Stegostoma tigrinum: one gene and its partners. The protein of the gene in region 2 interacts with the protein of the main gene of each other region in a biochemical or structural test. Links are inferred from orthologs where the notes say so. Each region holds a gene or a part of one and is shown on either strand. Other genes may lie near its edges.

The links.
Region 1: the proteins of membrane-associated guanylate kinase, WW and PDZ domain-containing protein 2 (region 2) and adrb1 interact in a test that uses a peptide from one of them, tested with the Homo sapiens proteins (4 studies listed by IntAct, with this or other methods). The link is inferred for Stegostoma tigrinum from reciprocal best matches to the Homo sapiens genes MAGI2 and ADRB1.
Region 3: the proteins of membrane-associated guanylate kinase, WW and PDZ domain-containing protein 2 (region 2) and corticotropin-releasing factor receptor 1-like form a complex in vitro, tested with the Homo sapiens proteins (2 studies listed by BioGRID and IntAct, with this or other methods). The link is inferred for Stegostoma tigrinum from reciprocal best matches to the Homo sapiens genes MAGI2 and CRHR1.

The regions. Positions count from the first base shown.
Region 1 is NC_081373.1:23,476,361-23,480,112, forward strand, and holds the start of adrb1 (beta-1 adrenergic receptor), read right to left. Parts: upstream 2,780-3,752; 5' UTR 2,309-2,779; coding exon 1,076-2,308; 3' UTR 1-1,075. UniProt on the Homo sapiens protein: Beta-adrenergic receptors mediate the catecholamine-induced activation of adenylate cyclase through the action of G proteins. This receptor binds epinephrine and norepinephrine with approximately equal affinity.
Region 2 is NC_081378.1:25,514,897-25,518,648, forward strand, and holds the start of membrane-associated guanylate kinase, WW and PDZ domain-containing protein 2, read right to left. Parts: upstream 2,855-3,752; 5' UTR 1,963-2,854; coding exon 1,665-1,962; intron 1-1,664. UniProt on the Homo sapiens protein: Seems to act as a scaffold molecule at synaptic junctions by assembling neurotransmitter receptors and cell adhesion proteins. Plays a role in nerve growth factor (NGF)-induced recruitment of RAPGEF2 to late endosomes and neurite outgrowth.
Region 3 is NC_081384.1:41,196,760-41,200,511, reverse strand, and holds the start of corticotropin-releasing factor receptor 1-like, read right to left. Parts: upstream 2,571-3,752; 5' UTR 1,556-2,570; intron 1-1,555.

The DNA of each region.
Region 1 (3,752 bases), on a different chromosome or scaffold from region 2:
CTGCACTCCGATGCTTCATTTTCGAAAGCTTACCCGGAGTTTTATGTTTACTTGGTTCTATCCATACTAAGATGCGCTGTAAAATATTCACCAATGTTAACAACGTGCCGCACATAATCTTCGTACTGAGAAATACCAACTTTCCACACTTAGGAAAGTGCAGGTGAAGTTGGTCCTGTGTGGAATTTAAATTAATTAAATAAGTAACTGACCCCTATTCATTCAACTTTTCTACTGGTCAACTCTGAGGTTGCGTGTCGCTTTGTCTATTTTTAAATATATAAAATGCGATTTGTTTAATATAAACAATGGTTGATATAAATAGATCTGTACACAATCTGTACAGCTGGAGGTAGTGTTATTCAAAACACAGTCTTACAGTGAGAGAGAGCGGTTTCACGAAATTGGCAGCAACACCTGGATCCATGTCTTGCTCCGAATGTCCACTCCTATACGAGGCGTCGGTCACTGACAGATCATTGACCAGCTGTTAGAAAATCTGAAATATTTTGTTTTAGACGGTGGACCTTTGTTTATTCAAATTGTTTTAAAATGAAACTTGTGGTTTCTCTTTAACATAATCCAAAACGTTGAAAATAATAACACAATGACCTTAACGACCCGTTATTTTGGGGACACGGCGATTGTTCATGTAACCGAGAGCTCCTCTTTAATCCACGTTGGAAATTGCCTCTGACCATGGAATGTGATTTAAGCGGGACACACCATTCTTGTTGCAAAACGGTGGGCTGCTGTTTCGTCCGATGAAAGTCAGCGCATCCTGGCAAAGCGTGTCCGCTGCTACAGTCTAGGATCGCTCCGAATCCAAACCTTAGTGTTAATCTACGTTGGCCTTCCGTTCTCCAGAATTGCGGGGAACGATCGCTTGCGGCAGGAATCCACCGCGGAGTTGGTCTGTGCTGGGTTTCAATGCCTGTTTCCTACAATACTGAGTGGGTGTGGGACCGCTCGCCCGCACTCACTGCTCTGTCTTCAACGCTTTTTTTTGTCTTCTCCACGGAACCTGAACGTTTCTGTCTGAGAAGCTGGACTTGCTGCCCGCACTCCACCCGCGCTAGAACTGGGACTCCTGGTCGTCAGGGTTCTCGCCCATGTGCCTGTCCAAACCGCCCCCGTTCGGCTCCTGGCTCCTGTTCCATTCTGACCATGTCTCCAGGCTCCTCGGGTCCAGAGTGTTGCCGAACACGCCCGAACACCGGGAGAACTCCCCGGAGCCCGTGCACAGCCTGTTACTGTCTGTCTGGCCGGGGCAGAACAGTAACCTCTTAAAGGCGGCTCGGAAGTCTGGACTCTTGCAGTAAATGATGGGGTTGAAAGCTGAGTTGACATAGCCGAGCCAGTTGAAAAACAGAAAGAGTTTGCCGGGCACGATGTCAGTCCGGAAAGCCTTCGCCACATTGGCTAGAAAAAAGGGTAACCAGCACAGGGTGAATGTTCCCATAATAATCCCCAGAGTCTTCAACGCCTTGTGGTCCTTAATGGCTATAATCTTGGAGGGTCTCCTGCGAGCTGACCTGCCGTTTGGGATGAAGTGACTGGTATAAAACCTGCCCTCGCACTTATCAATCTTCTTCATTTGCTTCTTGGCTTCTTGAAAGACGCGGGCGTAGACGAAGATCATGATGACTAAAGGCAGGTAGAAGGAGATGATGGAGGAAGCCAAGGCGTAGGCTTTATTCGTGACAAAGTCACAGCAACAGGGGTCATTGTAACAGCGGATGGCGTCGGGTTGGTCATCCCTCCACCAGTGCATCATGATGGGCAGCAGGGAGATGAGGCCAGAGATGAGCCAGACCACACACACGATGGCCCGGGCTCGGGCTTTCGTCAGTAAGCTCTGGTAGCGGAACGGGGAAGTGATCGCCACGTAGCGGTCGATGGCGATCACACACAAAGTTTCGATGCTCGCCGTCACACACAGGACATCGACCGAAGTCCAGATTTCACAGAAAACCGAGCCGTACAACCAGTTACCTCGCACGACCAAGGTCGCCCCGAAAGGCACCACCAACAAGCCCATAATCAGATCTGCACAGGCCAGAGACACAATAAAAACATTGGTTAGCGTCTGCAGCCGCTGGTTCCTGGCGATGGCAAAAACCACCAAGAGGTTTCCGAGGACAATGATCAGGACGATGCTGGCCATTACTGTGCCCATCCCTATCACCCACTGCTCAGAGAACTCTTGCTGAGGCACGTGTGGACTTACCCCGTTTGCAGGATTAACAAAGAGGATGGTGCTGGATTTGTTAGTGTGACAATCCTCAGAGGACAGGCGGTCTCCCATTGTGTAGAGTGCCGCTGACCGAGCCAGGAGATCACGTCGCTTTCATCGGAGATTGTCCCCGCAGATGCTGTGTGTGGTGCTGTCCTCCTTCATCCTCTGGCTGTGGCGGCACCAACAACCTGTAGCTGGGGGGTCAGAGCAGCACAGCGCCCTCCCCTTTCACGTCGCACACAGAGTTCCTCCAATGAGCCTCTTCCTGACGCCACATCTCCAACTTCCATTTAGAGAGCATTAACTTCAATGAGGGTGCCCTGAGTGCAAGTTAAGGGAGAGAGGAAAAAGATAACTTTTTTCCCCCAATCAGTTATCTCTGGTATATATTTTAAAGCAGCTTCTGAAATCCTGGCGAAAATACCTGAACTTTACAGAAACACGAGACTGGACTAATCACAATGTTCATTTCCAAACGTTTACCCCACTGGGTCTTTCCTTTTTTATTTAGTTTTGAATTCACGTGGATTAATGTGCTGACAACCACTCGGGGAGTGACGGTAAGTCCCTGTAAATATTTTTGGGGGGCCAGGAATAGACTGTGCTGCTAGCTCGAATTTCAGTAGCAGTGGAAGAGGTCCCGCCCAGTTCCATATCAGAACTGTTTGAGAAGATTATCTGCAGTTCAGAGAACGTACACCCTGCTGTGGATTTAGAACTCGGAATGGATCCTGAGGTCGCTGACTGTTCACAAGTTGCTAGTCCCTCATTCTGCTTTCTCACTCAAACTAAAACTACACTTCAGACCTTAAGCCATTTAACAGGAGGATTATCTTATCACAAGAAAGTAAATAACCAAAAGGAATTAGGTCCACGAAGCCCATTCTATTCAATATACCATGTTCAATTTACACTTTTATGTACATTTTTATTTAAGTATCTAATAAAATGTTAATAGAATTCCCGAAACTTTATAAAACTATGAAACTTACTTTAAACCCTGAGAATGAACAAGTGAAAGATTATTTTCTTATTGATAGCGTCCGATTTTCAACCCTGACCAATCGTATACCGCAAAATGCATTTCTGTGACAGAGACCACATCACTTATTCCTGAGAGTGACAGAATCAATCAGAACTGAAGGGGTCTATTGGAGTCTGTGCCAGGTCTTTAAAAGAACTGGACTGGTATTCCTCAGCGTTCGTCAACTTTTACTACTGAAGTATTCATCCAGTTTTTTTAAAGTGGTTGTTTGACATTGCATTAAACATTTTTGATGGCTTATTCTGTTGAAAGGGACAATATCTTCTGTTCCTCTGACTTACCCTGCAACCCTGCCAATTCTGCATTCGTACTCTCATTCTCTAATTACTTCAAATACGTAATTCACTTACATCTTTGCTATTAATCTTTTGATGGGGGCAAGTATGCTTCCAATATTTTTGGAATGAGAACTAATTTAGTTCTGGTTCTTTGCTTTTGGCGTGTTTAGATTTCCAGAAAGAAATGCTA
Region 2 (3,752 bases):
TTTCCGGCAGTCTTTCAAAATCCTCATCACAATTTTCAACATTCTTCTGTATCATGTCATCAATAAATTTGCACTGTGATTGCTTCATGTCCTAAGTGCTGCTTGCTTACATACATTGCAATACTTTCAATACAGAGCCCTGTGGAATATCATTCACCAAATGGTGTGCCTGAGAAACTTAACTTTACCTGTACTGTCTTCGGCAGTCTAACACACTTTTTTCATGTGTGTGGTTTAATTCCCCTCAATGTCATATTGTTACAAATCGTATTGTATTTTGTTGAAAATCTTAAAATCCATATAAATCATATACACAGTATTTCCTTTAATTTTTATGCAAAGTATTATTGAACACTAGTCAAATACAACCTGCTATTTAAAAATCTATAAAACTACATTGGTGAACTATCCAAGTGGTCCTGATTCATTCCTTTTTTTCCTCTTAGCTTTCTTACTTCTCCAATATTTCCTATGTTGCCGATATACATTGAAAAAAAAAATTGACAATCACCTATGGCCACCCCACAAGAACATTATTTGCATCCTCAATACAGATAATCACATTCCTGTAATTTCTCAAAATTAAGTTTAAGTAACTTTTATTAATATGATTTATTTTTGCAAAGGTTGCCTGAACATATATGTTATAGTACTGAACAGGTCATTGTTCTGAAAAACAACTTTTAGAACAAACATTTAAAGCTTAGAATTATGAAAAGTACTTTGTTATTTATATAAATGAGTGGATCAAGCTGAACATTTGGACTAGGGAATTCAGTAAATAGAAAATGTCATATTTGGAATTAATAATCTTAGATTTATTGTCACTCTTCTATAGCATTGCCATCCACATAATTTCATACATGATAGACAGTCTATTCAATGTACAGGATAATGTCATGAATACATGTCTTGATGTTAATTCACCATTATCCATTCTTAGAACTCCTGGTCAACCCGTTAATGAATATGTGACTTTATCCAGTGTCCATTGATTACAATTATTCCATAGAAATTAACATTATTTTCATTCTGCAACATATTAGAAAGAAAACAATGGCTTTGCACCCAGGCTAAAATAAATTATGTTTCAAGGATATTGTGAAAACAATTGCTGGTCATTAGAACAAATATTCATCACATGACATTTGTGCAGAAAATAAATCAAGACTTTAGTTTTGCAACCTCACAAGGATTTTGGTTCAATACATAGTTTTATTTACTTCAAAGGTGTTCTCATCACTCACTCCTACAATACTGACATCATCTAAGAATTCTTGTCTGCAATGTTGTCATATATCGTTTATGTACTGCAAAGTTGTGGCAATTTTAAAATAGTTAACAGACCTGTTAGTTTGGAAGATAGAAGAAAATATTTTCTCCTAACTTCTCAACACTCTAATAAAATTTCTTTAGGCATAAAACGGTACAAAGACAGATCTTCCAAAATAGGATATTTAACAGTACCTGTTCGGACCACAGCTTCTAACTTTATATTTGTACATTTTTGATTATTTCACCTATTGCCCTTTATCAGACTCGAGGGAACGCAATTTCCATGTCAGACATAACTTTCAAAAACGGTTATTTACGCATTACAAGTGAAAAATACATGCAGCTTTAATACGAAACTGGTAGTTAACATTATTGGAAGATTACTGTACCTTGTTTGACACACTTCAAACGAATTGGGTCCTTACAATGCTTGATCACAGCCAATACATCTCTAATAGTGAGCCCTGACACTGCTGTGTCATTGACTTCCAATAACAACTCATCAGTATGCAGTTTTCCATCCTCGTAGTTAATTTTGTTGTGTTTCATTTCTCCCAGATACGAAAACAAACCATTCTCTGCGCCACCTTTGATCTCCACATTCAGTTCCCCATCCTTATCTCTACATATCACAGTTTCATGGACTTTACTTGTCCAGTGACTTTTCTTTTTTAATACCTTGGACATCGTTCCGGTAAGCAGCTTGCAGATCAACGTTTCAAAGAGGAAATCGTGTGACAACGCGGGCTGATGCAAAACTAGATCCCAAGCCCGGCAGAGTTGTCAGAACAGCCCGGAGCCTTGGAGGTGACGGCGGAATACGCAACTTTCCTTGACATTTCCATGGAGCCCGGTTAAATGATGATGATGGCAGAAGCGAAGAATGAAAAGGAGGCCTCAACAATTAGCAAGTTTCTTTCAAAATACCCACTCGTCACAAATACACAGGACGATAATGTATTTACCCCCTGCGCCGTCGTTCTCTGCAAACACGCATTTCAATCTCTTCACGGGGTAAACAGCTGACACCGGCTGGGAATGACGGCGGGGATCCTCCCTCATCTCTTACAAAATTTCCAGATGGAAGAGGGAAAAAAAGAACAAATGTCGGTGCAAGGCCAGCCCAGGGAAGCCCTGTCTGTGTGTATATGTATGTAGTTGTTTATCCCCGGATTTAACAGTCTTCACAGACATTCAATCCCATCCACACAAAACTGAATCTGCTCCCAAGTTGCACCAACTTCATTCACGCTCACGCTGCAGCCTCACTCCAATCGCCGCCGACAACCCAGAAGCGCACGCGCAGCTTTCCGTCGAGACCGTTAAACGGCTGCGGCCGAAGGTACTGGAAAGGTCGGTGTGGCCTCGCGCGATTTCGGATGCTGTAGCGTTAATAGTAATATTAGGTCTGCCGATTCGATTGTTTTACTTCTTTGGGTCAAATCAGCTGTTTAGATGCTTCCGCCTGTCTCTAACGCATGAAGAGTCAGTGATATTTTATTGGAATTACACGATTTGATTTTATCTGCGGCCTCCCCCCCTTTATTATTGCTGTTAGTCACGTAATATAACCACATGCAGAATTTCCTGCCGAATCTCCGCTCCAGACCGCTCGATTGGTGCGAAAGGGGAAACCGCTGACTTAGTATTCTGTACGCGCTGTGTTTTTCTGGAACTTTTGTGCCATTGTACTATTACCTCAGTCTAAATGACTTAGAAAGGAATGTGACCTTCAGTTACCTGGAAATGCTGCGAATGTTTTTCCAGAGAGGTCGAGATTGAGAAGCTACTTAAAATAAAATTGTTCAACTTTATGAAAAGTCTTTATTAAATAGATAGTAAGAAACTCTTTAAACCGATAGAAGAATTTCTGACCAGAGATTTAAACACGTTTAGGACGATTGGCAAAACGTTGAGGTGATTTCATTTAGTGCAGCCTAATTATAGTTTGGAATCTGTAGAGTCGCGGAAACCAGTTTCAGTACCAAGTTGGATTTTTACTTGAAACTTTTTTTAATAAAAAAAGGGAGTTCGAGGGAATGGGAGAGGATGTAATTGAATAGGTGTTTCAAAAAGTTGCCCCAAACATGTAACCTACTGTTTGTATGATTCTATGAAACTGCAAAATATACTATCAAAGCTTTGGCATATTAGGACTGACTAAATATAGAAATAACACTAACATATTGGAAGTGATCTACAATTTTTGACTTAATAGGCTTGCAAATTACTAAAATGAATGTGTAATTATTTGGAGTCTACAAACTAATTTGAATAATGTTATTGATGTACTGAAGAATCCTTACCGGTAGAAACCTTGTTTATTCATCCTTGCCATGCATGGCCCATGCGTTTGATCAACATATCAAGTATTTCCAATGTTGGTGGGTCCCTGCTGAATTTTTTTTGCAATGTTTTATCTAATTGGATTTTATATTCTACATTGGCTTACTACCTCCTGCATGTTATGCATATCA
Region 3 (3,752 bases), on a different chromosome or scaffold from region 2:
CACCATTTTAAGTATTTCACAAAAAGAAGCAAATGCAAGATGAGAAATAATCTCTTTCACACTACTTGGAAGTGTGGCTAAGGTAAGTACAGTCAAGGCATTCAAAAAGACATTGTTTCTATTTTAAACAATCATGCAGAGTTGTGGAGGAAAGACAGGAGAAGGGCAAAAAGTTGAAATGCTCTGAGACATGATGAGCCAAATGGTCTCATTTGCACTATAACATACTGTGATTCTGTGACGGACAGCTACTAAAGAAGAAGGGATATCTGACAGACAAAGCTTAGGTCATAAGATATGAGAAGAGACACATGACAAAAAGACAAGTTAGCATCAGACAGACTATCATTTGAGGGAGATGTCAGACACAAGATGTATAGGCAGAGAATTAAACAACATCGGGGAGACAGGCATAACTGGATGGCTAGACAAGAGACAGACTTCAGACAAAATACACAACAAAAAATGCTAATTTTTTTTAAAAAATCTATAAAAAGGAAAGGAAATAACCATAAATGTAAGAGAGCTGTAAAGGTAGAGGGTGTAAAACACAGAAAGAAAGCTATAAACATGAGGAAAGGAGCAGAGAAAGTAAAAGACATTGCTGTGATACAGTGACTTGGAAAAGAGACTGGATGCATTTTCCATGTGTCAGCAACTGGGCAACTCTATGGGGACTCTATGTAAAATGCAACACAGTGATGAGCTGGAGAATAAATATAGCAGGGAAGATCGTATTGCCGAGGACTAGAAAAAAACAAGAAGAAGCTACTTCAATTCCAGCTGAGCAAGAGTTGGAAGGGTAGCTCAAACAGAAATGCCGGCACGCAGAAGCTCCAGTTCAAATGGAGAAATGGTGTCTGCACTGACAGCTTCCAAACAGGGGAACTCTATCTCCGAACAAATCGGGGTGAAACACTCTGTCAAATACAAATACAAGGGTAAATTTACATCCAACGCGCTCTCATCTTCTGCTGGGTTAAACCAACTGCTGCAAATTAAATGAAACATAATGATTACTGAAAGGTATCTATATCTGACCATCCTGAGCTGCTGTTGAGATATATATAATTATTCTCTGTGATATTCCATAAATCACTGGTTTATTCTGTTTCGCTCGAGCAACATTCGCTCAGTTGGCTCGATCTCCAATCTCTCTAGATTCGATCAGTTTGTGGACGCACTTCAGCTTTTGTTTTGTAATCAGAACGTAAAGAATCGTTTCTGTTTTGAACTAGAACAAGAAATAAACAGTACAGTGCCTCAGGGAGAGGACAGGGACTAATTCTCAGATCCCGTTCTGAGGAAGGGTCAGTGGCCCCGAAACATTAACTCTGATTCCTCTCCACAGATGCTGCCAGACCTGCTGAGATTTTCAAACAATTTCTGTTTTTGTCTCCTGCCCAGCAAGTTCACCGCTCCCATATCCAGAACATCACCGCACCTCGCTCCCAGCTGCAGAAAATTCCAGCTTCCATACGTCTCCCTCAACGCTGTATCAGATTCCTAGCTATTGCTTTTCAAATTGTAACAATAAATGAAAAGTCGGTCTTACCCTCAGCTTTCAGGAGTTGCACAAAAGCAGCTACTGCACGGAGTCTCTGACCTGGTCAGAGATAATCAGTTTGTCCTGCTCTCTTCGTCCTCCTCCTTCATTCCCAGGGCAGCAGGAACCGCTTCAAACAAGCAGAAAGATCGCCTTCCCGGATTGCAGGAGAACTCCCACTGTTCTCGGCGTCGCCACGCGGCTCTGTCACTAAAGTGTCCCCGAAAATGGTCCAGATTCTCTCTGATCTGAATGCGATCTGTCTCTCCGTCTCTGTCCCTCTTCCTTTGTCTCTGTCACTCTCTCAAAGCCTCTGACTCAGTCTCTCTCCATTTCTGGCACACACTGTCTGTGCGTCTCTCTCAATCTCTGACTCTCTGTCTCTGACTCCCCCTCTCTCAGTCTGTGACTCCCGCTCTCTCAGTCTCTGTCCCCCCTCTCTCTCTGACTCCCTCTCTCTGTCTCTGTCCCTCTCTCTCAAGCTCTGTCTCCCCCCTCTCTCTCTCTGTCCTTCTCAATCTCTGTCCCCCCTCTCTGTCCCTGTCCCCCTCTCTCTCAACCTTTGACTTCGTCTCTCTGTCTCTGTCCCTCGCTCTCAGTCTCTGACTTCCTCTCTCTGTCTCTGTCCCTCCCTTTCAATCTCTGTCCCTGTCCCTGTCTCTGTCCCTCTCTCTCAATCTCTGTCCCTCTCTCTCTCAATCTCTGACTCACGCTCTCTGTCTCTGTCCCTCTCTCTCAATCTCTGACTCCCTCTCTCTGTCCCTCTCTCTCAGTCTCTGACTCCCCCTCTCTCAGTCTCTGTCCCTCTCTCTCAATCTCTGTTCCTCTCTCTCTGTCTCTCTCCTCGTCTCTCAATGTCTGTCCCTCTCTCTGAGTCTCTGTACCCACTCTCGGCCTCTGACTCCCTCTCTCTGTCTCTGTCCGCCTCTCTGTCCCCCTCTCCCTCGGTCTCTGACTCCCTCTCTCTCGGTCTCTGACTCCCTCTCTCAATCTCTCTCCACCTCTCTAAATCTCTGACCCTCTCTCGGTCTCTGTCCCCCTTCTCTCGGTCTCTGTCCCCCCGCCTCTCGGTTTCTGTCCGCCCCCTCTCGGTTTCTGTCCCCCCTCTCTCGGTTTCTGTCCCCCTTCTCTCGGTCTCTGTCCCCCCCTCTCTCGGTCTCTGTCCCCCCCTCTCTCGGTCTCTGTCTTCCCTTCTCTCGGTTTCTGTCCCCCCTTCTCTCGGTTTCTGTCCCCCCTTCTCTCGGTCTCTGTTCCCCCCTTCTCTCGGTTTCTGTCCCCCCTTCTCTCGGTCTCTGTCTCCCCTTCTCTCGGTTTCTGTCCCCCCTTCTCTCGGTCTCTGTCCCTCTCTCTGTCTTTGTTCCTCTCTATCTCTGACTACTCCCTCTCTGTCTTTGACCCCTCTCTCTGTTTCTGACTCTCACACAGTCTCTGTCCCTCTCTGACTGACCCTCACTGCGCTTCTCCCCGACTCTGTCCCTCTCTGCTCTGATTCTCACTCAATCTTTCTCCGTTGCGGCCCCCCTTCTCTTACCCTCTTTGTATCTCTCTCCGCCTCTGCCCACCCCCGCCTTCGTCTATCACTGACCATACTCTGTAGCTTCCTGCCCTGACCACCCCTCTCCGTCTCTCTCCCTCTTTCCCTCCGGCTCTGTGTCTGACCGTCACTCTGTATGCCTCTCTGTCCCTCTCCTCCTCCCTCATTCGCCCAATCGCTCCGGTGCACTGGATCAATCAGAATTTGCTCGGTCTTGTGCGAAATTCAGAGCGAGCGACCCCTCCCGATTCCGGGGCGGGGGGTGGGACTGGGACTGTGGTGCTAACAGCCGGCTGCGGTAAGAGGCTGTTGTCCGGGGACACCGGGGAGCTTTTTCAACTTTCACTTTGGTAACTCATGTCACATCCAGTCACGGAGTTTATTCCGTGTGAAAAGCAAACTTTGTCATTTCATCTGATTTCTTTATCAAATTGGATCCCTTTTGAGCGCGGGCCATTGATCAGAGCAAACCGCAGTAGCTCGCTCTAAGTTATCACATTCCTGAGTTTCTCTTTTAGGTTACCGTTAACTCTCTCGGTCTAAAATCAAACAATCCTTGTTTCCATACAATTGAAGTCCTTCAAATAAATGTCACGGTGCAGAAAGATGCCATTCGGCCCAACTTGTCCCTGTTGGTTTTCTGGCTATTTTAATGTATTGTCGCTCTCCCAC